Alligator mississippiensis: one gene and its partners. The protein of the gene in region 3 binds, or shares a complex with, the protein of the main gene of each other region. Links are inferred from orthologs where the notes say so. Each region holds a gene or a part of one and is shown on either strand. Other genes may lie near its edges. The genes, in order: CWC15, PRPF8, SNRPD3 and USP39.

Region 1 (7,247 bases), on a different chromosome or scaffold from region 3:
GGTAGTAAAGCACTGGAACAGGCTACCCAGAGAAGTTGTAAAATCTACATCCTTAGAGGTTTTCAAGACACCGGTAGACATAGCCTTGGTTGGGATGATCTAGTTGGGGACAGTCCTGCTTTGAACAGGGAGTTGGACTAGATGACCTCCTAAGGACCCTTCCAACCCTAATTTTTGTGATGGTACCAGAGACTTCTTAAATATGCATGAGTGGAAATATTGTATATAAACACTTATTGATGTGCTTTTTCCTACTTAGAAAATTAGGGCTGGAAGGGACCTTAGGAGGTCTAGTCCACCTCCCTGATCAAAACAGGACTGTCCCCAACTAGATCATCCCAACCAAGGATTTGTCTACCGGTGTCTTGAAAACCTCTAAGGATGCAGATTCCACAACTTCTCTGGGTAGCCCGTTCCAGTGCTTTACTACCCTCTTAGTGAGACAGTTTTTCTTAATATCCAACCTAAACTTTTCTTTCTGCAACATGAGCCCGTTGTTCCTTGTTCTGTTATCTGCCACCACTGAGAACAGTCTTGACCTCCCCTAAGGTCCCTTCCAACCCTAATTGTCTAAGTAGGAAAAAGCACATCAATAAATTTTTATATACAATATTTCCATTCATGCATACTTAAGAAGTCTCTGTCAGCAAAGTTGATTTATATTAACCCACATTAATATAAGGTTTCCAAGGACTGTTCAATTTTAGGTGCCAATATTAAAAGAATGTAAAACAAGTGAAATGAACAGGAATGAACTCCACCCCTCTATGAACTCACTTCTAGAAATAAGTGCTTACAATACCTAAAGGAATCCTAGACTTCAGCAGTTATAAAATATACCATAAGTATTAACATATTGTTCAATTTTCCTACTGTATAAATAAGAACAAGGAACTGGAGTGCCCACAATTGATGTTACCATCACAAGAATCCAAAATGTTACCGTGTCATTCAAAAAGAGGTGACGGACTAAAGTGACCACTTTTAAATTTGTGTGATGAAGTTCTGGCTATATATTTAACAAAGCCAACCTATTAGATCAGTGTTCAGGAAGAATAGCAGAAGATACCAAAAAAAAACCATCCAAAAGAACAATAAGTTATATATTATATACTCGTATGCATTTTTGCCTACACTGCCCTCTGTAAATGAAAAATCACAACAACATTCCTTCTACTAAAAAGCCATCATAAACTTAAAGAAGGAGCATCAAACTCATCCAGCCCAGCAGATCAAATGAGAGGCACAGGGCCAGTCTACAGGCTGAAATCAGGTATACAGACTGCCCCCTGCATGCTAGAATTGGCATGCTTCCTGGACCAGCCCCACATACTGCATGCAGTAAGCATGCCAGCCCCATGTTGTGTGGGGAACTAGTCTACTTCCCTGATCCCGACCAGCCCCGCATCCCACATGCAGCACATGGGGATGATCCAAGACCTACAGGCAGCACCGCAGACTGAATGATAGGGCTGCATGGGACAGATCTGGCCCACAGGCCATATATTTGACACCTCTGACCTAAAGAACAAACACTTTCAGAATGTGGTTGGTAATAAAAGTAAAGGAAAACATCACTGAAGATACTGGAAGTGAACGGGCAAAACTGCCAAGTGATCTACCTTGCCCAATGCGAGTCTATTATCCTCCTCCACCTGCCAGTCTCTCCACAGGTTATTTTTTAATCAATATGTTCATTCAAAACTATCTGTCCTTTTTTTTTTTTTTTAAGACCCCATCCAACCTCAAAAACCATTTTTAGCATGTCTCATCACCTTATTTGTTCTGTAAATGTTACCAGTTATGATATGCATACAGTTACGTCTTCCTGTCTAACATGTCCCTATATCCTTTCCCAAAACAACCTCTGGGGGCAGGATATCTTTCTTATCCAGTTCACCCTCTGTGTACCCAGACCACTTCTGAATACCTGCTTCCATCATGGTACCCAGAAACCGCAAGTTAACAGTACATTCAATAATAAAACACTCTAATAATTTCAAATCCATTTTATCTTCTGTATCTGCCCCTTAGGCTAAAGCTTGCAGTTCTTTTTCTAGTTCAGCAGTAATCCCCTTTCCACGCAGAGGGCTAATAATTATAGTACTTGTTTTTCAATAATTACTCGCGTCTCAAACTAGGTTTAACGAAGAATCGCTGCGCAAAATATTTCAGGAGAAACAAACCAGCGCTTACCTGTATTTGATTTTAGTGTGAGAAGGAAGATCTCTGCTGGAGTACTGCTTGGAGAGCTGGCTTAAGTCTCCTTCGCCTTTTCCTCGCCCACCCCTCGCAGGTTCAAACGTTGGCCTGGCAGCTGTTGTCATCTCAGCTACTTGGGAATCCAATGCAAAATATGGCCGTTACTACTAACTGTGGTGAGAGACACGTACCCGCGGGTGCGCTATCTAGGAATCACCGCGTCGAGAACGCTTCCTAACGCGAGGCGTTCACACACCTGGGCTGCAACACGGCCTGTCACAACCCGGCCGGCAACCATTTCGTTATACTGAAAGGGAGGGAGATTTTCAAGCGGGTCAGGCTGAAGTGTGACACCACCGAGGAGTCACATAAGAACACACAAATTTGCCATTTGCTGGACCAGGCCCTCGGTCCAGGCTGCCCAGCAGCTGGTGTCACCGGGGGGGTTGTTTCAATGGCTCCTCTCCGCTCGCAGCCTCCAGCGTTGCAGGACGTGACCCGGAGGCCGGGCGGGAGGCTGCGGATGCCCCTTTGCCCCAACACCGCGCCGCCCCCGGTGCTTCCAGCTCCGCCGGGGCCCGGCGCGGCGGGGGCCTGCTCTCGGCTCCTCCCCCCCCCTTCTGCCGGCGGGAGGCGCTGCGAGGACCCAGCAACCCCTCCCCTGCCCGAGCAGGCCTCGCTCCCCCCGCCCACAACGCACCGTATTAGCCCCGCGCCTCCCCGGGCGCCGCGCCACTCCCGGCTGCGCTGCCTGGCGCCTAGGCCACCACCATAACTCCGCCGCCGTCCCACAAGGCGCCGCGCGCAGACCATAGGGGCGGGGCGGGGCGGGGCGGGGTGGGGCCAGGCTCAGCCGCTTCCCGCCTATGAGCAGATCAATGCGTCACGTCCGAGGCCGGGCCGCGTGTCCGCCATGATTACGGAGGCGGAAGTTGCCGCCCTGAGGTTGTTGTGGAGACGGCGGCTTCCCGCTGCACCCCCCCGGACGCTGATTGGCCGCAGAGCCCGCCTGTGAGTGCTTGGCCCCGCCCCCGGGACGCCTGCGCAGTGGGCGCTCAGTGGCAGTAGGGGCTTTTGAGTTTTTGCCCAAATGTTTATTTCTAATAAATATAAACAGCTAAACATATATATATATCTATATATCTCTGTATATATATAACTATATATATAAATAAGCTGTATATAACTACATATATATAAAACTATTTAAACTATACAAATATATATATAACTATATATATGTGTGTGTGTGTGTGTGTGTGTGTGTGTGTGTATATATATATATATATATATATATATATATATATATATATATATAAAAAACACTTTATATAACTAAACATAGACAACTGCCTCTGACAAGCTGTCATGCGACTGCTGTGGTTCACTTGAGAGACCAAAAACACACTTTTAACTAGGGTTGCCGACCCCCCCAGGATTGCCCTGGAGTCCCCAGGAATGAGATACAAGCTCCAGGAGACTGCCAAGAGTCACCCAGGAGATGCATGATAGGGCATTCATTAAAATCAATTATGAAATGTCGCATCCGATTTATACAGTAGTCCAGTGTGTTTTTAAAATGTAATAGTCATGTGCATTTACCTTCCTGAGTACAGTCAGTAGATCCGTCATTAATGTCATTACATCATGTGATTAAACCTCCCGGGATAGATTCAAACAGAGTTGGCACCCTACTTTCAACAGTTACATTATTTTTGTCCCATTACAAAGTTTGCCCGTGCACCCACCACCATTCCCTTGAGAATGTCAGAGTTTCATAAAAGACCCCTCAGTGCTCTCCCTCTGCCTCCACCCAAATCGTCCTTCTGTTTGTCCGGTCTCTTCACTCGTTATATTCTTGATTGAGGAGGCATCTGTGAGCACATCTGTGGGCCCATCCCAGTGCTCCCAGGTTGGCAACACCCCCACCCCATGAGCCTGGCTGCTTGCTCCGTGCCAGCAAGTCTCATCCAGGAGCCATGGTGCCCAGGTGGTGCCCAGAGATCCTTTGAAGGGTGCCGCGAGCTGAGCCCGCTGTTAGCACATTTAGGGGCTGCAGGTGCTTAGACATGATTCCCATGGGAATCCTGGGCATCAGCAGCACGCTCAGGCAGCAGAATCCCGGTCTCTGCAGCAGCAGAATCGCTCTGTTGCTTTGTCGTCATGATGATAAACATCAGGGACTGGGTCAGGCCCCAGGGCCGGCTGGCCCAGTGCCCTGTGTCACACGGGGGCAGACAGCAGACAGTGGAAGGGAGCGGGACCTGGGCCTGACCAGGGTTTTCTCCCCTGTTCCTCTCTCACTTACAGCCTCCAGCATTTAAGGTTTAGGAAGTGCTGATTCTGAGGCCGTGCCCCTCTCTCCCGAGCTCGATAACTCCTGATGCCCCTTTCCTGCAAGAATGTGTCTGCTCCCTCTTTTCCAATCCCAAAGAAAGAAGTGAATGCCAAGAGCTGCCACTTTCTGGTTGTCTTGAGCCTAATGAGGGGTGCCTTCAGCAGTGCTCAACCTTTTTCCCCGGTGGGCCCAATCGGCAGCACCTGGTCCGACTACGGGCCAGATAAGGCTTCTGATCCAGAGTCCAGGGTCAATGCAGTAGCCACCTCTGGCCACGTGGAGGAGGTTGGGCAACAGCCTGGCCTGGTCCCAGCCAGGCAGCGGGGAAGGGACTTCACAGGGCTGAAGGGGAAAGGAGCATGGCCTTGTTCCCCCTCAGGGGCAAGGTGACCTGGCGTGGCTGTGACTGGGCACATGGGCTTGGTGTTTGGGAATATGGCAGGGGGAGAGGATGGCCACCGCTCCCCCACCACCAAATTTTCTGATCCGTGGGGAGCTCCACAGGCCAGGTGCATTGGCTCTGCAGGCTGCATTTGGCCTGCAGACCAGAGGTGGGCACCCCGGGTCCAAGAAGGATGAGAACCACTGATCTGTGTGCTTACAATCTCAGGGCAGCAACTTTCCAAGCACAGCCTCCTGCCGAGGCTGCAGCTGATGAGACTATCCAGCAGGGGGCCCCAAAAGCTAAGGGTAGAGAATCAGGAGCTGCCCTTCCCCTTGGCCCGACAGCCAGGGAGAGATGCACCAGTTAGTGGATAAGCTGCCTCTTTCCTGTGTCTAACACAGCCCCTTATCTCCCTCTACCCAGTGAGTATTGCATCACTGGATGACTTGGCATCTGATTATGTCAGAGACTGCTTCTTACGCACTGTATCTGTGCAATGCAGCTGTGGAATTTAGCTCTGTTGTTCCCCAGGACTAGGGTTACCATATGTCTGGGTTTTCCCATACATGTCCTCTTTTTGGGTCCTCCGATCTCTGTCCAGGCAGTTTTTCTAAATGTAATTGAATATCTGGGATTTTGCTCCTCTCCGCTCCGCTCCACTGGTGACTGGAGGCAGGGTCACCAGGTGCATCTGTGGCTGGCACGCAGCCAGGCAGGGGGTGGGAGCAGCCTCAGCAGCTGATGTAGGCAAGGCTGTGAGGACAGGGGTTGGAGAGCCAAGGCTTCATGACTGTGGGGGGGTGCAAAGGGTGCGGCAGGGCACAGGGGCAGGAGGGAGACACCTGACCCTTCAACAGGGGAAGGGGTGGGGGGTCCTTTGGGGGCAGCAGGGAGCTGCACGGATGGGCTAGTGGCACCAGGGCAGGTACCCATGCTTGCAGGAGCAGGGCACCTGGGAAACACTGCCCGGGGGCCAGGATGCATAGATAGCCCACCTGGCGCAGTGCAGAAGCCCCAGCCTGGGGCAGGGGGTGTTACAGGTATCATCTCATCCTACCTTCAGCCTGTGCTAGGAGCAGACTCGCTCCACTGCTGCCCGCACGAGCCAGAGCCACTGTAGCTGCTGCGTTTTGACCCAGTTCGAATGGGGGCAGCTGGAGACCCCCTCCAGCCCTGCTGGAGGGAGTTAGGGGGGCTGCAGGTCAGGAGTGAGGGGCACCGGCAGGGCCAGGGGTCTGTGGGTCAGGAGTGAGGGGCAGCAGCAGGGACGGGGGGCTGCAGGTTGGGGGTGAGGGGCACTGGCAGGGTCATGGGGCTGTGGGTTGGGAGTGAGGTATCCTCCCTGGCTGGTGTCCTCTTTTTTGGAACTGGAAGTATGGTAACCCTACCCAGGGCTGAATTCTGGAGGTGGTGGCAGGACATTCCTAGCTGAACACCTGCCCTCCCAAATGTGGTTCCTTCAACACTTTTCCCGAGTGCAGCTCTAATGGGTCCCAGGGCATGGCACTAGGTGCATTCATTCAGTCTCAGGTTGGGTTTTTTTAAGCTTTTTGTTTGATGGTTTTTAGAGTTTCTCTCTTACTCTGGGTTTTACTTTGCTGTCTTTCAGCCCAAGTGACATCACAAAACATGAGGGTGCTGGATGATAATTGGCTGCTGCTCTTCATCCCAGCAGCGTCTACATTTCTCCTGTAGGTGTAAACCTACAGATGTGTTTGCAGGCTCAAAATTACTGTGGAATCTTTAGTGTGGTTGAGAGAGTAACTCTTGGGGGGATAGTGAAAGAAATGGAGCAACTGAGCTAGGGGTGAGTTAGCAGACAGGGCTCACTGACATTTTCACAGCCTTCACACCAGTGATTACAGAATATGTGCTCCATAACTGACCAACATATTGTATTGTACATCAGGAGGGACCTGCCTACACACACGCACACCTTGAGAGAATGTTTATTCCCAGCTCCAGCTCCAGGTCCGGGCAGGATAAACCTAACACAGGGAAGGGCAAATTCTGCAAAGCAAAGGTCCATTTTCTTAGCTCTGCAGAGTAAAAAATGCTGGATAGAGGAAAGGCACTTTAGCGCAGGTGACAAAAAGGAGGGGAAAAAAAAGTATAATATATGTGTATATATATGTATGTGTATATACATATATATGTATATATATGTATGTATGTGTGTGTGTGTGTGTGTATATATATATATATATATATATATATATATATATATAAACAACATAAAAATAATAAGAAAATTCATGCTTTTGGGGGATAGGAACCATCTTTTTGTTCCATGTTTATAAAGCACTTAACACAATGGGGTTC
Region 2 (7,162 bases), on a different chromosome or scaffold from region 3:
GGAGGGCGCGGAGCCAGGCCCGCACGCACCTTGCTCAGCCGGGTCCTGTCGTAAGGCACGTGCCTTTCCTTGGTCACCAGGATGACCCTGCCCGTGAAGCCCTCCTGCCGCAGCGTTTCCGCACACACCAGCGAGGCTGGGCCTGAGGGAGGAACGGTCTGAGCCCTGCCATGCCGACCTGGCACCACGCAGGCAGGAGGAGGGTCCAGCATGGCTGGGGAGGGCTCAGGCCGGGGTCCCACTCGGGCGCACCCTGCCCTGCCCACCTCCGCCCAGCAGCAGCACCGTGGTCTGGTTGATCCCGCAGCGCTTGCTCATGTCCTTCAGCCTCCGGCTGCTCTCCAGGTCCTAAAGGAAAGCGGGTCAGGGAAGGCAAGCGGTGGCCCTCGCCCTACGCTTGGTTGCGGCTGCAGGGGGTGGGGGACGACGAGGCAGGTACCTTTCTCCTGGCAGTAATGAACACCTTCCCATCTTCCACTTTCACCTGCGGGGACCGGAGGAGAGTGGGAGGTCAGCGCTGCACTGGCGCTGCCAGAGGCCCTGTGGGCCGAGGCGCGGTGCCGGGACGGGCCAGGCAGGCTCTGCTAGGAGGACCTGGAGCCCCAGTGGTACCGACGGACTGGGAGCAGGGCACAGCCTCCGATTCCCCTGGGGCCGTGGGCTTGCTTTGCACGGGAGGTAGCTTTGTGCATCATCCCCTGGCGTGGGCTTCAGCATGGGCACCTGGGTCTGGTCCAGGGACCCCCAGGAAGCGGAGAAGCCCCACGGTTACAGGAGCCAATGCAGATAGCTGCAAAGAGCCTGGGCAGGGCCCGTCCGGACACCTGCCCAAGCAGCCGGGGCTGGGCTCGGCTGGGACAGGGTCGATGCCCGGGCACGGCGACGGGGTGCAGCCAAGCCACAGTCACCTGGAAGCAGGGCAGGCAGTCCAGAGTCGGGTACTCCTCGATGTCCCCGGTCTTGATGTCAAAGCAGGCGCCGTGCCAGGGGCAGCGCAGCCGGTTGCCCTTCAGCACTCCTGCGAGGCAGACCCGGGCAGAGGGTGAGCAGTGGGAGCAGAGCTGGCTCCAGGACTCCCGTGTGCCTGCTGCGCTGGGCAGGGGCACAACCCCGCGGGGGTACGGGGGCAGGCGCGGGCGTCCTCCCCGATCCCATCGGGGGCTGCGGGGCTGTGGGGCGGCGTGTGGGGCGGTGGGGCTGCCCTCACCTTTGCAGAGGGGCGCTCCGTAGTGCGGGCAGCGGCTGCCCAGGGCCCAGAACTGCGTCCCGCTCCGCACCAGCAGCACCGGGAAGCCGGCGACCTCCACCTCCCGCAGCCTGCGGGCACAGGGCGGCGCGCTGAGCAGCGCCCCGGGCACGGGCACGGGCACGGCCAGGGCTGCCCAGCCCGGCCCGGCCCGGCCCGGGGCACCCACCGTCCTGCCGGGCAGCGCGGGGGGGCACTCACTCTCCGTCGCACACGTCGCACTCGCGGCACACCTCCTGCGTGACCGTGCCCGGGTCTGTGTCGCCGGCGGCTGCCTGGGGGCTGCGCCCGGGGAGGAGCGGGGTGAGCGCGGGGCGCGCCCGGCCCGGCCCGGCCACACCCGGCTCGGCCCCCCGCCCGCATCTGCGGATACTCGCCTGCTCCCGGGCTGCGGCGCCCTGTCCATCGCGGCCGGCCGAGCGCACCCGGCGGTGGCGGGGCGAGGCGGGGCGGGCCGCGCTACTTGTAGCCGCCGCCGCCCACGGCGCGTCGCCTTGCACAAGGTGCGGGGCTGCACCGCGCCCGCCGCCCGCCCCCCCGGGCCGTCACGTGCGGAGCTCCCGGCGGGGCGGGCGGGGCGGGGCGGGCTCCCGGCATACCCGGCTGCTGTCGCCCGGGCTGAGCCGGAGCAGCGGCCCCGCACGCAGCTCGGCCGGGTGGGGCGGAGCGGAGCGGAGCCTGGCCCAGGTGCGGGGGCTGCGGGGCTCGCCGGCCCGGGCACACGGAGCCCCCTCGGGCGGGTGCGGGTGCGGGAGCCGGCTCGTGCCGCTGTGCCGCGCTGGGCGCCCCCCGGCTCCCCGCGTTGGCCGCAGGAGTGGGCCGGGAAGGGGCTGGAGCCCGCCCGCAGGAGGCCCGCCAGGCTCGGCCGGGCAGGGGCCGCCTCTCCTGCGGGTCCCGGGGGGACGAGACTGCTGACTCTGCTTGCAGAAGCTGCTTAGCTGCAGAGAAAGAAGCAGCGCTTCTGGTTCTCCGACTTCAAAGCCCAGAGCCAGGAGCTTTGTTTTGTTTTGAATTTAATTTGTATCCAAGGCCAAACCGGCCAAACCCAATTCCAAATCCGAGCGCAGAACTGGAAGCGGCGCTGCACCGCCGCACACCCTCCTCCTGCACCTGGGGCTTCAGACGTTTCCAAAACCTTTGGCGGGCGTCCTACTTGCAGGCCCAAGCCCAGAGGTTTGGGGCTTGGATGCCCCCAAGTTTTGCTTGCCCTCAGCCATAAGACCCCAGGAGCAAGCAAGGGACGAGACCTCCCGTTCCCGTAAACTGGGCTTAAAGCTGCTGCACCTCAGTGGGTGCTGAACCACGCCAGAAGAGCAGTTCTCCCTCCTGTGGTGCGGTTCAGGACAACGGCCGTCTTGGACACAGCTACGCGCTATCTCCCCTGCCAGGTTAAGCAGCCGCCAGCTTGTCCTGAGCCTTCAAGAGGCCGAGACGTGCAACAAGGTGCCAATGGGAGGCGTAAATCAGAGACGTAGCAGCTGCGGGGACCAGGACCTTAACCGAGACAAATGCATCGTCTGTACGGCAACCCTGGCTGAGCGTCTGTCCAGCTCCTGGCTGGGGACAGCAAGTGCTTTGGGCACTACTGGAGGGATGTGGGAGCCAGGGTCGTCCAGAGGACGTGAGAGAAGCCAGGATGTTTTGGGGTGCTCTCTCTTGCTGGACAAAAGATCCAACGGAAGACATCGCCAGTGTCTTTCAGCATCGCCGCCGGGGAAGGAGGGCTGCACCTGTGTCGGGGACGGTGTGAGCGAGCCCCGGGCGCGGGACGACCCGACAGCAGTAGCTCCTGAGCGAGCAGCAGGCAGGGGTGAGAGCGTACGACCTGGGCTGCACCTCCTCCTGCTCCCGCCGCCGGACGCGCGCCCCTGCGCTCTCGCGCTCCTCCGGCCTTTGCCAAGGCGTTTGAGTCGCTTCCTCCTCCAGGGTCGCGGGCTCTCGAATGCTTCCCGGTGCCTGCGAGCTGGTCTAATAAAAGGTGTCGTCCCTGAACCAAGAGCTCTGGAGTTGTGCATTCCCCCATGCTGGAGCAGCTGCAGAGACGCGGCCGCCAGGAGCGAGCCGGTCTCCGAGGAGCGCTCGGGGTCGGGCTCTGGCTTTGCCCCGCGGCGGGGGCCGAGCTCAGACGCCCGCACCGGTTCACAAAGCCAAGAGCTTGTTTTGAGCAGAGCTGGGATAAAAAACCTGGGGATTTGCCCGATGCAGGCAGCTCCTGAGGGCCTGCAGAGAGGGCTGGGAGCCGCGCTGGAGCGGGGAGGTGACTCATGGGAGTGTGGAAATAATCTGGCTTGAGCTGACTCGTGACACGCGGATTACGACGGGTGTGAGATGCCCGGCAGGCAAGCCGCTCGCTGGGCTTCACCCACACAGACGTGAGCGGGGCGTGCGCGGGACGGCTGCTCGGAGCTGCGCACGGCGCCACGGCCCTGCCTGCGTTTCGGGGACGGCGCCGCCCCTGGAGGCTGGCCAGGCGCTGCGGAGAGCAGGGCCCAGGGGACGGCATGGCAGTGGTGCTGAGCCCGGTGGCTGCAAGGGGAGCGTGGGGCGCACGGGGGCATCCTGGGCACGGCCCCCGTCCCTTCCCCTCGCCGCCCGCGGGAGTCACCCGCTCCCAGGCTCCTCGCGCCCGGCCGCACGTGGCCGCACGTGGCAGGCGACACCCGCGCCGCTGGGGGGCGCTCACGCCCACCAATCAGGGCGAGCCCTGCTGGGGTCAGGCCTGTCCCGGAAGTATATCCTAGCGCGCGACCCCCCCTCCTCACGCCCTCCTCTTCCGGCCAGGGCGCCCGCCTCCTCCCCGCGCGAGTGCTCTGATAGGCTGCCCTTCCTCTCCGTCTCGCAACCCGAGAGCTCATTGGTGCAGGCGCTGCCCCGCCCCCTGGCTGCATCCGGGTGCCTGGCGCGGGCCGCCATTGCGGAGCGGAGCGGAGCGGGGCCATGGCGGCCGTGTTCCCGTACCGCGCGGGCTGCGCGCCCGTGCCCAGCCCGCTGGCGCCGCTGCCCGACTACATGTCTGAGGAGAAGCTGCAGGAGAAGGGTGCGTGGCGGGGCGGGGCCGGGGGGGAGGGGCGTGGGGGGCAGTGGGGGAGGGGCGGGCCTGACTCGGGTCTCGCGTGTCCGCAGCCCGCAAGTGGCAGCAGCTGCAGGCGAAGCGCTACGCGGAGAAGAGGAAGTTCGGGTTCGTGGACGCGCAGAAGGAGGACATGCCGCCCGAGCACGTGCGCAAGATCATCCGCGACCACGGCGACATGACCAACAGGAAGTTCCGGCACGACAAGCGGGTCTACCTGGGGTGCGTGTTGCGCTATGTTGCGCTGCGCCGTGCGGGGCGGGCCGGGCCGGCGCGGTGCCGCGTGCGGGAGGCGCGCCCGTGCGGCGGGAGGCACCGTGCGGGTGGCCGGGCGGGTTGTGACGGAGCGGTCGTGCCGCAGGGCCCTGAAGTACATGCCGCACGCCGTGCTGAAGCTGCTGGAGAACATGCCGATGCCGTGGGAGCAGATCCGAGACGTGCCGGTGCTGTACCACATCACGGGCGCCATCTCCTTCGTCAACGAGATCCCGTGGGTCATCGAGCCCGTGTACATCGCGCAGTGGGGGTGAGCCGCCGCGGCCCTCGGGCCTGGGGGGTCTGGGGCGCGGCTCGAGCCGGCGGGGCGGGCCGTGTCTGATGGTGTCGGGTTGTGCCAGGTCCATGTGGATCATGATGAGACGCGAGAAGAGGGACCGGCGTCACTTCAAAAGGATGCGGTTCCCCCCCTTCGACGACGAGGAGCCGCCTCTCGACTACGCCGACAACATCCTGGACGTGGAGCCGCTGGAAGCCATTCAGCTGGAGCTGGACCCGGAGGAAGACGCCCCCGTGCTGGACTGGTTCTACGACCACCAGCCCCTGAAGGACAACAGGAAGTGAGTACCCTTTCTCGGCGGCGCGTTTCACTGCAAAGCGTCGTGCGGCGCCGCCGAAACGTGGCCATCGGGAGGAGAGCAGCAGACGCCGTGCGCAGCGTGGGGCGCGGGGTGGGGGGACCGGAGCGTGGAAGCTGTCCTGGGCCCTTCCGCGTCTGCGGAGAGCTCGCGGGACCCGGACACTTGAGGTTGCTCCTGGCCAGACGTCTGCAACGAGATGAAACTCGGCGTATCTTCCAGGGAAGCACGAAGGACTGAATCTGGAGTCAGAGCAGCGTTTCGGGAGAACTTCGTGCGTGGTATTTAGACAGTGTTGTCTGCTGTGAACGGGCCGGCTGCGTTATGCTTTGGCCAGCCAAACCTCCTGGGGAAAATTGCATTGGCACGTTGTGCTGTCTGGCAGGTTGCTTGCTACAGTCCCAAGCGTTAACATCTAAATCTTGGGTATAGGGGTAGAGAGGGGAGTTTGCACGGTAGCAGGTGGAGGTGCGCGTTGTCTGGAGCGGACTGGAATAAATACGCAGTCTTCCCTCCTTTTGCGGAGGGAACGGCGAGATGATTCGCTTTCCCGTTTGCAGTAAGTGGGATGGGGCAGAGAAGGCGCTTGAAGGGTCGGTCGCCTTCTGGCCTGGCGGTGACTGGTCGGCGCGGTGCTTTCCTTGCAGGTACGTGAATGGTTCCACATACCAGCGCTGGCAGTTCACACTCCCCATGATGTCCACCTTATACCGCCTGGCCAATCAGCTGCTGACAGATCTTGTGGATGACAACTACTTCTATCTGTTTGACCTGAAGGCCTTCTTCACTTCCAAGGCCCTGAACATGGCTATTCCCGGGGGTCCCAAGTTTGAGCCTCTTGTTCGAGACATTAACTTGCAGTAAGTGCTGAGCTGGGGACAGGAGGGAAGATGGGCGCTGCCTGGTCTGGGAGTGGGATCCTCAGTGTGCTGCGCGATTTGTCCCAGGCCAAATGCTGTTGGGCGGCTCCTGGCAGCGAGGTAGTCGTGCATGTGGGTAGGCGCTTGTTTCTTTAGAGGCTGCGTCGGTATTGGAGTGGGGGAGGGGGTAGAATGCGAGGGCGCTGCAAATGCTGACCCTGCCGTTTTGGTCCCTGACCTTTGCTTGCACTGCACTCCGCATTCTCACCGGATGGCCTCTCTCTTCTCAAAGGGATGAAGACTGGAACGAATTCAATGACATCAACAAAATCATCATCAGGCAGCCCATCAGGACAGAGTACAAAATTGCTTTCCCTTACCTATATAACAACCTGCCACATCACGTGCATCTGACCTGGTAAGTACAGCCCTGTCTGCTGCCTGGGGTGTGGAGAGTTTGTCCAGGCAAGACGCGCTAACACTTTGCACGTGTTGCAGGTATCATACGCCAAATGTGGTCTTTATCAAAACAGAAGATCCGGACTTGCCAGCTTTCTACTTTGATCCATTGATCAATCCAATCTCTCACAGGCACTCTGTCAAGGTGAGTTACTGCCCGTGAGCCAGGGGGGCACTGGGCTGGGAGAAAGGAGCCCTGGCTTGGAGCCTTGTGTAGACCTCGTGTTGAGGGAAGGGCTTTGGCGTAGCGTAATGACTTTGCCTCACGTGGTAGCCAATGCAAACTGCCAGGGAAAATGATAGGCCTGTTTGTAAAAGCGTTGCTGTTCGGTGCTGTCTGTGAAGGGGCGTGATCCTTCCTGGCCCCAACCAGCGAACAAGGGCGTGATTCCAAGCAGTGGGCTGATCATCTCTCCGGCACCGCAAATGAGTCTGGTTCACGTACAAATCTCTGATCTCTTCTGAGCTCCGCTAACTTGCTTCTGCCTTCACAGTGTGCACCTGTGACTTCCACAGTGTAGTTCTAGCATAAGCTTTGTCTCTGTACCCACTCCTGGCACCCTGTCAATCACCGAATGTGCGAGTAGGACCCCATACGTATACTACTTTGCTGACATATAAAATAGGGGAGTCTACTTTTTTTTTTGCTCTGGTCATTAAGATAATTTGGTTT
Region 3 (6,845 bases):
TTCCCGGATGGCCTTCTGAAACTCATCGTCATCCAAATGATTCATGTACCTGAGATATTGGGAGGAAGGGGAAGCAGGTATTAGCAAAACGTGTCTGTTTCAGTTCGAGCCTCTTAGCATCACAGAAAGGAAAACCTGAAACAATAGGGTTTGGTTGAGAAATGATCACAATATAATGCAGAAATGCATCACAAATTTCAAAGGAGGGAAAAGGGAAGGCAGGGAGGACTTCATTGGTTTTATTACACGTGACTTTCTCTTTGAAATTTATTACTGTCTTGATTGTACGGTGCTAAAGGTATACAGAATACTGCACAGTAAACTCTACTAAACAAATAATGTCTTATCCTGAAGAGTTTACAGTCCAAGAACACACGTACAATATAAAGCAAGCACAACAGGGGTGGGAACTAGAGCTGGGTTGCTTCAAGAAATAGTTGGAGTTCAAAATAATTTTTTTGGAGGAAGAGGAAAGAAACTTTGTAAATATTTATGTATCTCAGGCATTGAGGCTTGTATGAAGAAGGTCACAGGGCAGAGAAAGGAACCAGTTGGGTGGCATTCTAACTGAAGTGGAAAAGGGTGCAAGAGACCAGGGATTTATTCAGGGGCGGTTATAGAAAGCTTTGTAAATGAGAAACAACTGAACTTGTACAGAAAAAAGGAGAAGCTGGAGGCATTCAGGGAGGGGAGGAAACAAGGTCACATTAGCAGGGTAAGAAGATAAAATTTTAGAAGCTGAGTTGTAAATGGGGAGGAGAGGAAAAGAGGTGAAAGGGGAAGGAGAGGCAGAGGTTACAGTAGTCAAGATGGGAAATTACCAGCACACGGACTAACGTCTTGGCAGAAGGGATGGAGAGAAATGAAAATCTTCTGCTTCATAGCTACTAAGTGGACATCTAAATAGGTATTTCACTCTCCTGCACCTAAGCTCATGTTCCTCTGTGGAAGGAAAGACGAGTTCAGCAGGAAGCTAGCACGTTACAAACCGGGCAACACAGAGCATAGTCTTGAAACTCAAGCAATCTCTGGAATGTTAAATGTTTACCTGGCAGAGCAGATACCCTACTGGAGAATGGCAAGATACTAACATCTATTAATATGGGCTAGAACTCCTAGTTATTTGAAAAAGTACAGAAAGGACACTAAGTGAACTGCTGTGCCAAGTAACTGTCCCAGCAAGGAGGATGGATATAATCATGTAAAGTAAACCATGCTACTCTGCAGGGAAAACATTCTAGCAGGTTAAACATGCTGATCGGCAGAATTCTTAATCAACTATTTTGCATCTATCAGAACACATGGTTAGTTACTTAAATCTTTCAGCTTTTTCTTTTCCTCTTGCTAGAGAGCTGGTGCTGTGCCTAGTCAGGCAGCCATAATTCTTGGAAGGGTATGGGAAGAATATGCTTGGATGGAGCTGGGAGGCTAGGTCACAGCCAGCTACCTCTACCAACTTCCACCCTTAGCATTAAGTCCTGATATATGGAAGTGTCTGGCAGTATGAGTAATACTTTCCCCACCCTGTGCCCAAACCCACCCCTTCAACCCAGAACAATTACTTACTGCAAAACCATCCTGGAGCAGGCTAGCCCACAGTCCCAGTGGTACAGCTGCTGAATAACTGGCACTTTCAACTGGATGTAGTCAACTGTAGCAAAAACAATGCATTAATATTAAGAGCATAAGTAAATAAGCCCAGATGGGTATATCCTTCTATGCACTAATTCTTTTGCCAGCTCTCTGTGCTGTACTGGGGCACTTTAAAAAAAATGAGGCTGAGAAGCAACTAGCTGATGGGAAAATAAGTGTTTCTAAAGAAGTCCATTTAGCAAGAAGTAAAACTAAGGTGTGGTTTAACCTGGCACTGCCTCTTCACTGACAATTCTACACTTTCCTCACACCTATCCATTTTTCTGGTTGGTGAAATCCCTGGTCAGGGCCTCTGTCTGAGTTCCAGCAGAGCAGGGGAACCACAGATTTTCATCTTATTGTGGTATGTTCAAAACATTCTTTTTACCGATGTGACTTTGGAAACCCTCTACGTGTCAAAGAATGCACCCAAACAGCGAGAGTATTCATCAGGCAAATGCAGCAGGTCATGCCAGAGGAAATACTAATCAAGACCGTAGTGTAAACATAGGCAACAAAGCTCCACAGGAAAAGATCTCTAAGCCTTCTCTACAGATGTAGATCTTGTCGGTGACACACCCAATGTATTACTGTTTATTCAAATAATGATTTTGCATTTAAAATCAACTCTTGGAAATTACACTTCTTGGCCTTCTGCATTATGAGCTCACAACAACAGTGCCAAGTAAAACAGAAAAAAAAAATCCCTATAAGAAAGCCTCAGATTGTTGAGTTAAAATACTGTGCAGCCATAAAATAAACTGCAAGGATGTCTGCCCCTCCCCCACAGGAGAAATTATAAGCTTTCTACTGTCAAGGGTGATGATGAAACAGTTTCAACCTCACTTCCTTATCCACTGCCTCAGAAGTTTTAAAGTATCCAGAGTCAGTTTCAGCCCAAACAGGTTTGATGTCAAGGGCCTTGTGTCCTCAAGAACCTTCCCGCTTGAAGTAAGATGACTTGAGGAAGCTGTGTTAACACCACGTTAATCGAGCTTTCACAAGTCTTCTGATGCAAAGACAAGAACAAGACGCGTTCAACGTCATACAAGCTAGTCGTGATCAACATCAGCTTTTCAACATCCTCCTCCTAACTTGCTGCAACTTGCCACTGAAGGTATGTCCTGGCCGGCATGCAACAGGAACAAGCAAACATGGATTTTGGAGGCTCCTTCCAAAATTCCCGTGCATCCTGCTGTTTTGAGCCATCCCCCCGCGTCTCTGAAAACCGGCGTTCCTGCTGAGAACCGCCAGTCTCTCCTGGTAGCCTGCCTGGCTAGCACAGATCAGAGCGCTCGGACTCATTATGCTACAGGAAATATTAACCCCAGGCGTCTTCTCATATCGGAAGGTATGAATCATTTGTCACAAACTAAAACGAGTCGGTAGTCAGTTTAAAATGAACAGAAGGAGGCTCGCTCTCTGGCAGGGTGGAGCACCCTGCCCACGGCCAGGGGACAACGGGTCCTTGGAGGGAAGGGACAGCAGTCAGTTGCTACTGAGCGCGGGAGCGGGGGCTGGCGGCTGTGAACCAGGGATGCCTCGACCGCAAATCCTGGAGGCTACAAGTGGGAGAGGCACAGCGGGACATCAGACCCGGGTCGCCCTCCCCGTCAGCACCTGCTCTCTGCCCCGGCCAGACAGCAGGGACCGGGGGGCCGACCCAGAGCGCGGGCTGCGCTGGCCGCGGACCCCGGCGCAGCGGACAAGCCTCGGCCCTGCAGCAGCGCGGAGCAGCAACAAGTGAAGCCCGAGGCTTGGCCGAGTCTCCTGGATGGATGCCGGGAGCCTCTTGCCCGCGTCGCCGAGCCCGTACGGGGCCGGCCGGCAGCAAGGCCGGAGGCGGAGCAGGCTGCGGACACAAATCCTCGCCCCCACCCCCGGGGCCCGCGGCGCTGGAGGCCTCCCAGGGCCGGGCAGCGCGGGGAGCCGCCCGCAGCCGCTGCCCCATCCCGGCGGGCGGGCCGCACTGACCTGCGGGCGGCCCCGGCCCCGGCCCCGGCCTCGGCTCGGCGGGCGGCGGCCCGGCCTCCCGGGGGCTCTTCATGGCGCCGCCTCAGTGGCCGGGGGCCGAGCCGGGCTGCGGGGGTCCCCTCATGCCGGCGCCGCCGCCTTTTGCGCGCCCCGGCGCTGCTGTCGGGCGGGGCGGGGCGGGGCCGGGGGCGGCCCAGGCGGGAGGGGGAGGAGCGGGAAGGGGACCGTGCGCGCCCAGCTGCACCGGGACAGGTCGGGGGGCCACGGGCGGTCGCCGAAGGGGCTTCTCCCCGCGCCCCACAGGGAGAGGGGGCATGAGGGGGCTCCTGTGCAAGTGCCCGGGGCCGGGTGGGGCACGCTGCTGCCGAGGGCGCATGGCGTGCGTGGGCGGAGGCACCCTGTCGCCACTCGGCGGGGGGAGGCGGGAGCAGGACGCGGGCGGAACCTTCCCCCTGGCCGCCGCGTCCCGCCGGCCCCTTAGCGCGGGGACACCCGAGTGGCGCGTCCCCGTTCGACCATAGAGCCGGGGCGCCGCGGCTTAGAGCTGGACGCCGGACTTCCGGTTCCGGCGCGCGGGGCAGGGCGGGAAGTGCGAGAGGCCATTAGAGCGCTGCTGCGGGCCGCACGTTGTGAGCTTCGTGCTAACGGTGGGTGGCGGCCGGGGGAGTTGGCCGCGGTTGGCGTCTCTTAGGGGCGGCGTATTTGTTTCCCCAGAGCGCGTCGAGGCGCCTTCTGCCGTGACGGGACCCCGGGCAGAGCCCGCGGGAGGCGCTGACCGCCCCCGCCTTGTCTTGTTCTCTCCCGCAGGGTAGAGCCGCGCCGCCGCTGGGATGTCGATCGGGGTGCCCATCAAGGTGCTGCACGAGGCCGAGGGCCACATCGTGACGTGCGAGACTAACACGGGGGAGGTGTATCGGGGCAAGCTCATCGAGGCCGAGGACAACATGAACTGCCAGGTAGGCCGGGTGAGGCCCCTACTCTACCTCAGGTGCTTGTCTGAGTGACGGGCTTAGGGTTGGTAAAACACTGCAGTGCTGAAGCGGAAAGCAGGGAGCTGCACATCTCAGCTTGCTTCTGAGGCCGCTTCTGTTTCTACCATAAACAGACACTTATCCTTTTACCAGGTCTGAGTATGTGGTGCTGGTGACAAGAGCTTCTCATATCATCAGCCAGCTTGAGTTCTTCCTTCCTTCCCCAGAAGAAATTTTTTTCCCCTAAGTTTATTTTATAATTGCCTTTTTTTGAAAAGTGTGTCAAATCGGGCTGGGGCTTCACTGTGGCTGATTTGAGGCCAAATGTTCACATTGAGCAAAGTATTTCCTTGGCTGATGGAAGTAATGAAGCATGAAAACATCTTTTTCTATAAAGAAGCCTGTGTGGAGGTGGTTAACCACGTTAGCCTGAAGTCTCTGATTTGGTTAGTCGAAGGAACAGGATGTGTTGCAGTTACTCTAGTTAAAGTGTTAACACTTAAGCCACCATGTGGACAGTCTCCCTCCTCTGGGATACTGTGAATAGATGAGTGTGCGGATGACTTAAAATGCCCAGTCTGACACATGCAGGAGGAAAGAAGAGTATTTAAATGTTCTACAAGGCAGTCTGTTGCTTTCAAGCTGGATTTACAGCTGTGCAACACTTGGCTGTTCATTAAGTACTAGGCTATGTAGCTTGGTCTCTTCTCTCTTTCCCCATCATGTTATTTACATGCTCAACTAATTTAAATCTGCTGTGTACTAGACCCAAACAGCTCTTCCTATTTCTAGACTCCACACCCGAATTCTGGAGGTAAAACTCATTGTGTCAGAAGTATTGAGTAGCTTTTGTCTTCCAGATGTCCAATATCACAGTGACATACAGAGATGGGCGAGTGGCACAGCTGGAGCAGGTGTACATTAGGGGTAGCAAGATCCGGTTCCTCATTTTGCCAGACATGTTGAAAAATGCTCCTATGTTAAAGAGCATGAAGAATAAAAACCAGGGTTCGGGGGCTGGACGAGGCAAAGCAGCTATTCTCAAAGCCCAAGGTAAGTACTTCTAGTTGGTTCTTAGCTTTTCTGATAACGTACTGACATGGTAAAATGGATGCATCGAGAATACTTCAGCACAAGTGGCTTGGTATAATTTATTATTAAAATATAAAAGTTGGGAGTTTAGTTGCCAACCTGCGGTGCAAATTAAATGATTGAGTAGTTTGGACTTCAGTTTGTCAGTATAAATTTTGTAGTGCTTCATTTAAAAAACAAAAACAACACATCCCCAGAAACAACCTAGGAAGTACGCTGATGAAGATTTTTTTTTTTTTTTGAGGCAAGTACCAATAGCTGACTCTTTTCAGGAGGCATCTGCTGGTATTGATCGGACTTCTGATACCAGCCCAGCAGCTTGGAGAGCTGTGTGCAGCTGCTGAGTCTGTTGTGGTGGAAGGGGCCAGGAGGAGCAGATCAATGACCCCGCAGTGAGGGAAGGAGTAGGTCTGGGGCTGGGGTAAGTGCTGCCCAACTGGGGAGGGTGTGGGATGGAGCTGTGGCTTGTCCGGGAGCCACTGGGCTGGCACTCGCCTGGCAGCTCACACCACTGCTCCTGCTGCTCGTCTAGGGGGTGGGGGTGGCATTCCCCCCCCCCCGATCTGGGTGTGATGGGCTGGGAAGAGCCCCTCCCAGATCTGGGGGCACATGCCCCCCTTCCCCCATGCCCTCCCGGATGAGTGGTGGGAGCCACTGGGCAAATGCTGGACCGGTGACTCCTTGACAAGCAGCGTGCAATGGTGGGAGCTGCCCCATGCACCCAAGACAAGCTGCAGCTCCATCCTGTGCCCGCCTTGTCCCAGCTGGGCACCTCTTGCCCCAGCCTCACTTCTCCCTCATGGCAGGGACCTTTTGATCTGCCCTCCCCCCTCCCCTTCCCATCCCTTCTACCACACCAGACTTACTAGCTGCACACAGCTCTCCAAGCTGCCAGTCTGTGCTCCTTGCTGACTGTGCACTGCACTGTAGCTATGCGCGCACACAGGCATTTATCAGCCAAATTATTGGCCACATCAAGCCAATTTCCGGTTTACGTTCAATTTTCTTTATGCCAGTGCTTATCCGATATCGGACCAATGTATCAGTGCACTTCTACAAAAAACTTTTAAAATACCAATATTGGTTCTGAAACCGCTTTGGAAAGAGTCAGTTCTGGTGTCCAGTATAATCCTCAATATCTTTGTACTTCCTAAATGTGTGCACACATTATGAGGC
Region 4 (7,137 bases), on a different chromosome or scaffold from region 3:
CTAGTCTAACCCCCTGCCTGAGGCAAGATCAGCACTGTCCAAACCATCCCAGACCCATCCATCATCTAAACTCTCCATAAGACAATGCTGGCACAACACCAGACATCACCTCTGAGCCTTCCAGAGAAAGCAGGGGAGCTGTGGTGGCCAGCATCCTGCTGCTGTAAAGAGTTGTTAATAGATGCTCCAGAAATCCCCGAGGAAGTCTGTGCCTCCACTACAGAGGAAGGGAACCCTTCCCCCCCACTCCATACCAATCTGACTGGGGGAGAAATTACTTCTAGACCCCAAATGCAACTGTGGTCTGAGCATGAATGAAAAGGCAAGATCCTCTAGCCAGGACGCTATGGTTCGAGTCCCAGCAGGAGCACTGGTACAGCCCAGTCGCCATCCCCATGCTGGGCTGCAGCCAACAACCAGTGCCTCTAGAGAAGGCTTAACCACTCCCCCCGCCACCTGTATCATGCCTCTTAGGTGCCTTTTCCCCCCAAGCCCAGCTCCTTCATCCTCTCCTTGCAGGACTTGCTTTCCAAGCCCTCCATATTTGTCACTAGCTCTGGACCCTTTCTCAGATTTCCACATTGTGTTTAAAAAGTGGAAGCCATAATGGCATGCAATCTAGAGTAGAGGCATGATCACCTCCTGCATCTTGCCCCAACCCACCTATTGATGCCTCCCAAAACCACATCCACCTTGTGTGCAGCTGCTTCACACTGCAGGCTCTCAGTTGGGATCCAACCCTAGGTATAGGCAGAGATTTGCTATGGGCAAAAAGAGCCTGTTCCAGCCCCTAGGCCTGGCTGGACCACTGATTGCTACATACGCTGCTTGTGCAAAGCCTTTGCTAAAGCACTGGCTTGATCAGTGCCCCTGACCAATACCTGAAGTCCTGATAAAAGCAACATTAGGCACTTGAGCCAGGCATGGGCTCCTGTCATGGGATGGCTGGACAAGGGGTGGAATAGTTCAGTCCCAGAAGGCTCAGGCTGGGATGGGAACCCATCCAGTAAAGCCCAGAGGCCCATGATCCCTCCAGATATTCGAGAGACCAGTGGAAGGTGACACACCATGTGCATGGATGGCTGTAGAAAAGGAACCAGGGAAAGGATGGGAACTGGCTCAGCCTAGAGGAGTCTGAATAGGGGTGTGCTATGACATGGACAAACATATGTGCACGCCTTGGCTGTCAGATCATGTGTGTGTTAGGGCTGTGCCTTGTGACCAAAAACCTGGCGGGGCCTTGGTGACTGACCGGAACTCACAGTTGTCTCTAAGGTTTCTTCGTGCTGTGCCCCCTGCTCCTCCCAGTCCCTCCCGTGTCTCAGTCCCTCCCCTAAACATACCGTGATATCCTCCAGGGAGGAGTCAATGATCTCGTAGTTGTCAGGCAGGCAGTAGAACTTGAGCGTGTGCAGGTTCAGGAAGACATGGTGGCTGAACTGCACACTGTGGATGTAGGCGTGGGACTTCAGGCCGCGGCCTGCACGTGAAAGGGGCAGTAGTCAAGGCACACACATCTACACGTTTGCATATATACACCTCCACACACAGATGTGTATAAACGGACACACATACACATGTACACACATACATAGACATGCATACACAGGTATGCACATGGATTTTTGTACATATATGCACGTATACAAGTGCACACACATGCACACACAATTACATACACATGTATATATACATATATAGACACATACATGCAAACATGTACATATACATTCCCACACAAACAAGGATTTATGCATGTGTACGTGCACATGTATGCACGTGGATTTATGTATAGGCATGTGCACATGCACACTTGCATGTATATATGCATGTATACATGCACATCCACACGTACATGTATTTGCATTCACAATCACACATGATCATATATGCACACATGTTTGTACATGCAAAGCTAGGCTGTGTGAATGAAGTAGCGCTTTGCTGGAGCGCCCTGGGCACACTGTACAGCAACAGTAGCGTTATGCTTCCCAGCTTTGCTGGCTCCTGAACCGTGAGGCCTGGGGGAAGAGTCAAGACCAGAGGAACCCGCTGCAGGCCCCTGCCACCCGGTCCCCCTGCATGGTGCTGCACAGTCGCATTTGAGCACTCACCCTGGAAGTACTTGCCGCAGACAAGGCAGGCATAGACGTTGATGTGCGACAGGGAGATGGAGCAGAGCTTCTCAAAGTCGAAGTCCAGGACACTCCTGGGAGTGAATGGGGAAGAGGCTGAGTGGGCAGGGCCTGAAGGTGGCCCCAGCGCAGACCTGTCTGAGGCCGCCTCTGGGACCTCCCCCTTGCCGCACCCCGGCTCCCAGCCCTGGGCCGGCAGGAGGCAGATGTTGCCCCTGCTCCAGAGCCTGGGCGGGTGCGTGCACATAGGGGCATGGCGGTCATGGAGCACATGTGGGCACGCCTCTATGCCGAGGCAGACATGTGTGGTACATGCGAGCCTACACACATGTGCATGCCAGTGTGGCCACACATGCACACATGTGCACACGCCCAAGCACCCTGTGCACGTGAGGTCCTGCCCCGCACCTGTTGATGGTGTCTAGGTAGGGGCAGTGGCGGCTGCGCCGGTCCTCGGGGTCAAAGCGTCCGTAGCGCACTGCAGGACACGGACACGCGTCAGCGGCGGAACCCAGGCGTCCTACCTCCCCTCCCCTCCCCCGACCCGGCCCCCCGCGCCCACCGGTGACTTCGGGCTCCGGGTCGGAGTCGGCCTCTGCCTCGCGCTCGCGCTTGATGCGGGGCGGCCCCTCGGCGCGCTCCCGCTCCCCGGCGCGCTCCCGCCGTGCGCGGTCCCGCTCCGATTCGGCCTCGCGCTTCAGGCGCGCGCGGTCGGGCTCGGGCTCCCGCCGGGCGCGGCCCCGGTCGCGCTCCCGCGCCGCGCCCCCCCGCGAGTCCCCGTCAGCCTCGCGCTTGCCCCGCGCCGAGCCCCTTGGGGACGCGCGCAGCTCCCGCTCCCGCTCCCGTTTCACACGGCTCGACATGGCCGCACCCCCAACACAGCCCGCGTTGCCTCTCTGCGCATGCGCCGCAGCGATGACGAGGGTGGAGCTGGGTAGAACCAAGCGCTTACTTCCGCCTTTTTGCGCATGCGCCGACACGCAGAGCCTGTGGGCGTCTGCTTTACTACGGATCCCTGTTTCCATCCGATTCGCATTTCCCCTCTGGTGTCTCTCGTACATGCGCACTCACATCCTAATGATGTTCAGTCAGAGCTGACCCTAACTCCCCCCAGCAGCCTTTCTAAGATTGCGCATGCTCCCTACGGGCTGCCAGGTGGCCGACCGCTGCTCTCCCCGGAGTTCCCTCCTTAAAGACACAGCGCCCCCTTTTTTCCCGTTTTTCCTAGAAGCTGCTCGCCGCCCTCGGGCCGGGACGTCTCTGCTACACCAGGCCCCCCGCCCCGCCCCGCCCCGCCCCCTCGGGGCGCGGCCCTAGCCGCCTGCACAGCCCGAGGGGGACCGAGTCCCCAAACCCACCTGGGGGGGTAACGGGGGGCGGGGCCGGGCGGCGGCCCGATGGAGGCGGCCCCGGAGCCGGAGCCGGAGCTGGAGCTGGAGCGGGGCGGTGGGGGGCGGCCGGGCGGGCGGCTGGACATGAGCCACGGCTTCGTGCGCAGTATCCGCCGCAACCAGATCGCCAGGTGCCGCCCGCCGTGCCCCGCACTCCCCACCTGCCCCCCACCTATCCGTCCCCCGTGCCCCCAGCCCCAGCGCCCCCGGGTTGAGAACCCCTGCCCCGCCCGAGGCTTCTGCCCCCCATGCTGGGGACCGCTGGGAGACACCCGGCCTCATGCCCTGCTGCCCGCAGGGATGACTACGACCGGGAGATGAAGCAAGCCAAGGAGAAGGTGAAGAAGAGGCACACGCCAACCCCCCCGCGGCCCCGCAAGCCCGACCAGCAGGTGTATCACCCCCGGCGGCGAAGTGAGCCCGGCGCCTGGGCTGGGGGGCAGGGGCAGCAGCAGGGGCAGGGGCTGCAGGTCAAGGCTTAGGGGCAGGAGGCTGCCCCTCTGCCCTCACAGGCCCCTCTCTGCCCAGGCCAGCCGGACCCCAGCTACAGCCTGGACTACGAGGGCTCCAGCGAGAGCAGCTCCAGCCCCGAGCCTGACCCTCGGGGCCCCGAGCTGTTCTGCCTCGAGTTCGAAGCCGACAGCGGTGATGTCACAGCCGTCATCGTCCACCAGGTGAGGGGCAGGGTGCCCGGGTAGGCGGGCTGCAGCACCCCAGGACAGCACTAGCGGCCTTAGGTCCTGTCTGCAGTGCCCTGGGGTCCAGCAGGGGTCTCAAGCTCCTGTGGGTGGGAGGGCAGGGGGCAATAGGGTGCACCCCCTGGACAGGTGGGTTGGCACCTGGCTGCACAACCCCCAGGCCCACCAGGAGGTTGGCACTTGGCTGTAGTCCCTGGGGTCTGGCAGGGATGGGAAGGCGGCAACACCATGAACAACTGGTGCCTCCCGAGACTGGGGGAACACCATTTGTCGGCAGCGAGCGGGGACCGTCAGCAGCGACAGTGTCGGTAGCAGGGGGGAGGTTGCGAGTGGGGACTGGTCGCAGCCATGTCGGCAGCAAGGGGGTGGCATGTGCCCCCCCCATACCTGCCTATGCACTGCCTACAGCCACCCCCAGGGGCTTCAGCATGAGCTACCCTCTGCCCCGCAGGCCCCGGCTCATGGGGGCCGCAACCTCTCACCCTGTCTCCCCGCAGGATGACAGCCCTGAGGAGGTGGCGCAGCAGGTGTGCGCCCACAGCCCGCTGGAACCTGTCCTGCGCCAGGCTTTGTGCCAGCGGGTGCGGGAGGAGCTGCACAAGCGCCAGGCCAGGCCTTGAGTGGGCAGCGGGCGCTGGGCCTGAGCCTGTCCCGCAGCCCAGACAATAAACACTGGTGGGAACACAGGAGTCCAGAGCTGTTTTCTCCTAGGAAACTGAGGCAGAGCGGGTGGGACCAGAGGGGTGCTGGCAGGGGGACCCAGGTATCTGGGAGGGGCCAGGCCGTAGGAGGTTGGGGGCAGGTGGAAAGGGGAGATGGTGGGTGTGACATTACAATGAGGTCACAATGATGTCATGAGAGGAACAGGAGTGTGTGGGCAGACAAGGGGTCGGGGAAACGGACGGGCACACACATGCCCCTCCCCCCAGCAAAGAACCCAGGTGTCCGGGCTGGGGGATGGGGGCAGCCGCGCCCGCCCCTTCTTGGCTGGCTCATTATGCAAGCACCGCCCCGTTAAGTGACGTTATGGGACAGCGGCGCTGGGCACGCCGGGAGTTGTAGTCCCATGGAGAGGGCGGCAGGACTCTAGTTCCCGGCATGCCCCGCGCGGGAGGGGGCGGGGCGGGGCCGGCCTGGCCCTTTAAAGGCCCGTGTGGACTCGGCGCGGCCGGGTAAGGGGTGGGGGTCCCGTGACAGGATCCCCGACGCCTGGTTCCCGCCGGGGGTGGGGGCGAACAGCCTAGTGGTCAGAGCAATGAGGGGCCAGGAGCCCGGACGCCTGGGTCCCCTGCCTGGCTGGGGCCCAGCTGTGACCCTGGGGGGAGGAGGGGCTGCTATGACATCATCCGCCCCGTGCCTCAGTTTTCCCTCGTGGGGGTGGCACTCTGGGGGGCCTGCCCACTAACTGCGTCTCCAGTTCCCCCCAGCCGGGCTTGTTCCCGGGGCTCCTTCGTTAGCCACGTGGTTGCAGCAGGGTGGGCACCAACCTAGTCCCTCCGAGTTGGGGGGGGGGGAAGCCAACTGTGCAGCCCCCATTCTCCTCCCCTCTCCCCCGCGAGAACTCAGGCGTCCGGGCCCTTGGGAGCAGTCTGATGGGAGTCCGGGCACCTGGGTCCCTTCCCCAGGGGTGGAGGTGAGAGACCGAGTAGTTAGAGCATAGCTGGGTATCGGGAGCCTGGACACCTGGGTATGCTGCCTGGCTGGGGGGTAGAGGGGCAGGAGCCCAGACGCCTGGTTCTTTGGGGGTCCAGGCCCTTCCAACATCTGTCCAGCAATCTGTTTACCCCCCACCCCCCCGCAGCCTCCAGATGCTTCGGGGCAGAGACGCGGGGCAATAGCCAGTGCCCCCCCCAACCCCCCAGCTCCCCCCTGCCGGCCCTCCCATGACCGCCTGGATCATCCTTCCCATCAGCCTCTCTGCCTTCTCCATCACCGGCATCTGGATTGTGTGAGTGACTCCCAGGGGCCCTTACCAGATCTGGTTGTAACGTCCCCACCCCATGTCCTCGCCTCACCCCGCAGTGCCACCTCCGGCCAGCAGAGGGGGCCTGGGCCTGGGCTCGGGCTCTAATGGAAGGGGGCACTTAGAGGTTGATCCCCACCCCCCAGCTCCCCTCTCTGGGCACAGGCTCTGGGATGGGAGGCAGAGCTCCAGGCCCCACCCCCAACCAGGCATGTCTGGGTCGGGGTTGGATGGGAGGGATTGGAGGGGGTGCAGTGAAGCAGGGGTGGTTGGACAACCCCTCCCCCTCCCGGGGAGGTGTCTTGGGGGAGGGAGGGAGGGGGGGAGGGAAAGACAGCCAGCCAGGAGATGCACATAGAGCCCAGGCATCTGGGAGTGAGGGAGAGACTGACACAAAAGAACACAGACCCAGGTGTCCTAGAAGAGGACAGAAGAGACAGGAAAACGACCCAGGTGTCCGGGGGGGGGGAGGGGATAGATAGGAAAGGACAACAGGACCCTGATGCCTGGCCAGGGACAGGTGGACCGATGGGCAGAAACGTACACACAACTGAGGTGCCCAGGAGTTGGAGACAGATGAATATAAAAGGACTCAGACAACCCAGGTGTCCTGGCAAGGGACAGATAAGACAGACAGACATGAAGACACCCATGGAACCCAGCCATCCAGGAGCAGGACAGATGGACACAAAACCACATACAGAACCCAGGCATCCAGGAGGGGGAGACAGACAGACAAACAGGAAAGGACATATACAACCCAGGTGTCCTGGCAAGGGGCAGGTAGACAGATGAAAACCCATACAAAACCCAGGCATCCAGGAGCGGGACAGATGGACACTTAAATGCATGCAGAACCCAAGCCTCCAGGGAGGGGGAGATAGACAAACACAAAAGGACACAGAACCCAAGTGTCGTGGCAAGGAGTGAATGTGCAGACAGCCACAAAA

Evidence for each region.
Region 1: SNRPD3 (region 3) and CWC15 share a complex: the UniProt entries of both Homo sapiens proteins name them as parts of the minor spliceosome. The link is inferred for Alligator mississippiensis from reciprocal best matches to the Homo sapiens genes SNRPD3 and CWC15.
Region 2: SNRPD3 (region 3) and PRPF8 share a complex: the UniProt entries of both Homo sapiens proteins name them as parts of the U4/U6-U5 tri-snRNP complex. The link is inferred for Alligator mississippiensis from reciprocal best matches to the Homo sapiens genes SNRPD3 and PRPF8.
Region 4: SNRPD3 (region 3) and USP39 share a complex: the UniProt entries of both Homo sapiens proteins name them as parts of the U4/U6-U5 tri-snRNP complex. The link is inferred for Alligator mississippiensis from reciprocal best matches to the Homo sapiens genes SNRPD3 and USP39.

Annotation. Positions count from the first base shown.
Region 1 is NC_081824.1:447,193,693-447,200,939, reverse strand, and holds the start of CWC15 (spliceosome-associated protein CWC15 homolog), read right to left. Parts: upstream 3,013-7,247; 5' UTR 2,903-3,012; intron 2,336-2,902; exon of another isoform or gene 2,333-2,335; 5' UTR 2,328-2,332; coding exon 2,197-2,327; intron 1-2,196. UniProt on the Homo sapiens protein: Involved in pre-mRNA splicing as component of the spliceosome. Component of the PRP19-CDC5L complex that forms an integral part of the spliceosome and is required for activating pre-mRNA splicing.
Region 2 is NC_081837.1:504,353-511,514, reverse strand, and holds the start of PRPF8 (pre-mRNA-processing-splicing factor 8), read left to right. Parts: upstream 1-4,143; 5' UTR 4,144-4,183; coding exon 4,184-4,283; intron 4,284-4,369; coding exon 4,370-4,538; intron 4,539-4,677; coding exon 4,678-4,842; intron 4,843-4,933; coding exon 4,934-5,152; intron 5,153-5,817; coding exon 5,818-6,030; intron 6,031-6,322; coding exon 6,323-6,448; intron 6,449-6,528; coding exon 6,529-6,634; intron 6,635-7,162. Other genes in the region: apoptosis-inducing factor 3, read right to left, coding at 30-142, 267-348, 440-484, 909-1,018, 1,208-1,317, 1,448-1,528, 1,624-1,652. UniProt on the Homo sapiens protein: Plays a role in pre-mRNA splicing as core component of precatalytic, catalytic and postcatalytic spliceosomal complexes, both of the predominant U2-type spliceosome and the minor U12-type spliceosome.
Region 3 is NC_081833.1:19,337,896-19,344,740, reverse strand, and holds the start of SNRPD3 (small nuclear ribonucleoprotein Sm D3), read left to right. Parts: upstream 1-3,825; 5' UTR 3,826-3,858; intron 3,859-4,158; exon of another isoform or gene 4,159-4,253; intron 4,254-4,413; 5' UTR 4,414-4,436; coding exon 4,437-4,562; intron 4,563-5,437; coding exon 5,438-5,630; intron 5,631-6,845. Other genes in the region: protein GUCD1, read right to left, coding at 1-49, 1,567-1,651, 3,253-3,583. UniProt on the Homo sapiens protein: Plays a role in pre-mRNA splicing as a core component of the spliceosomal U1, U2, U4 and U5 small nuclear ribonucleoproteins (snRNPs), the building blocks of the spliceosome.
Region 4 is NC_081830.1:10,641,739-10,648,875, forward strand, and holds the start of USP39 (ubiquitin carboxyl-terminal hydrolase 39), read right to left. Parts: upstream 3,001-7,137; 5' UTR 2,999-3,000; coding exon 2,698-2,998; intron 2,614-2,697; coding exon 2,544-2,613; intron 2,210-2,543; coding exon 2,115-2,209; intron 1,481-2,114; coding exon 1,344-1,480; intron 1-1,343. Other genes in the region: C7H2orf68 (UPF0561 protein C2orf68 homolog), read left to right, coding at 3,533-3,657, 3,825-3,940, 4,055-4,200, 4,722-4,844; TMEM150A (transmembrane protein 150A), read left to right, coding at 6,108-6,172.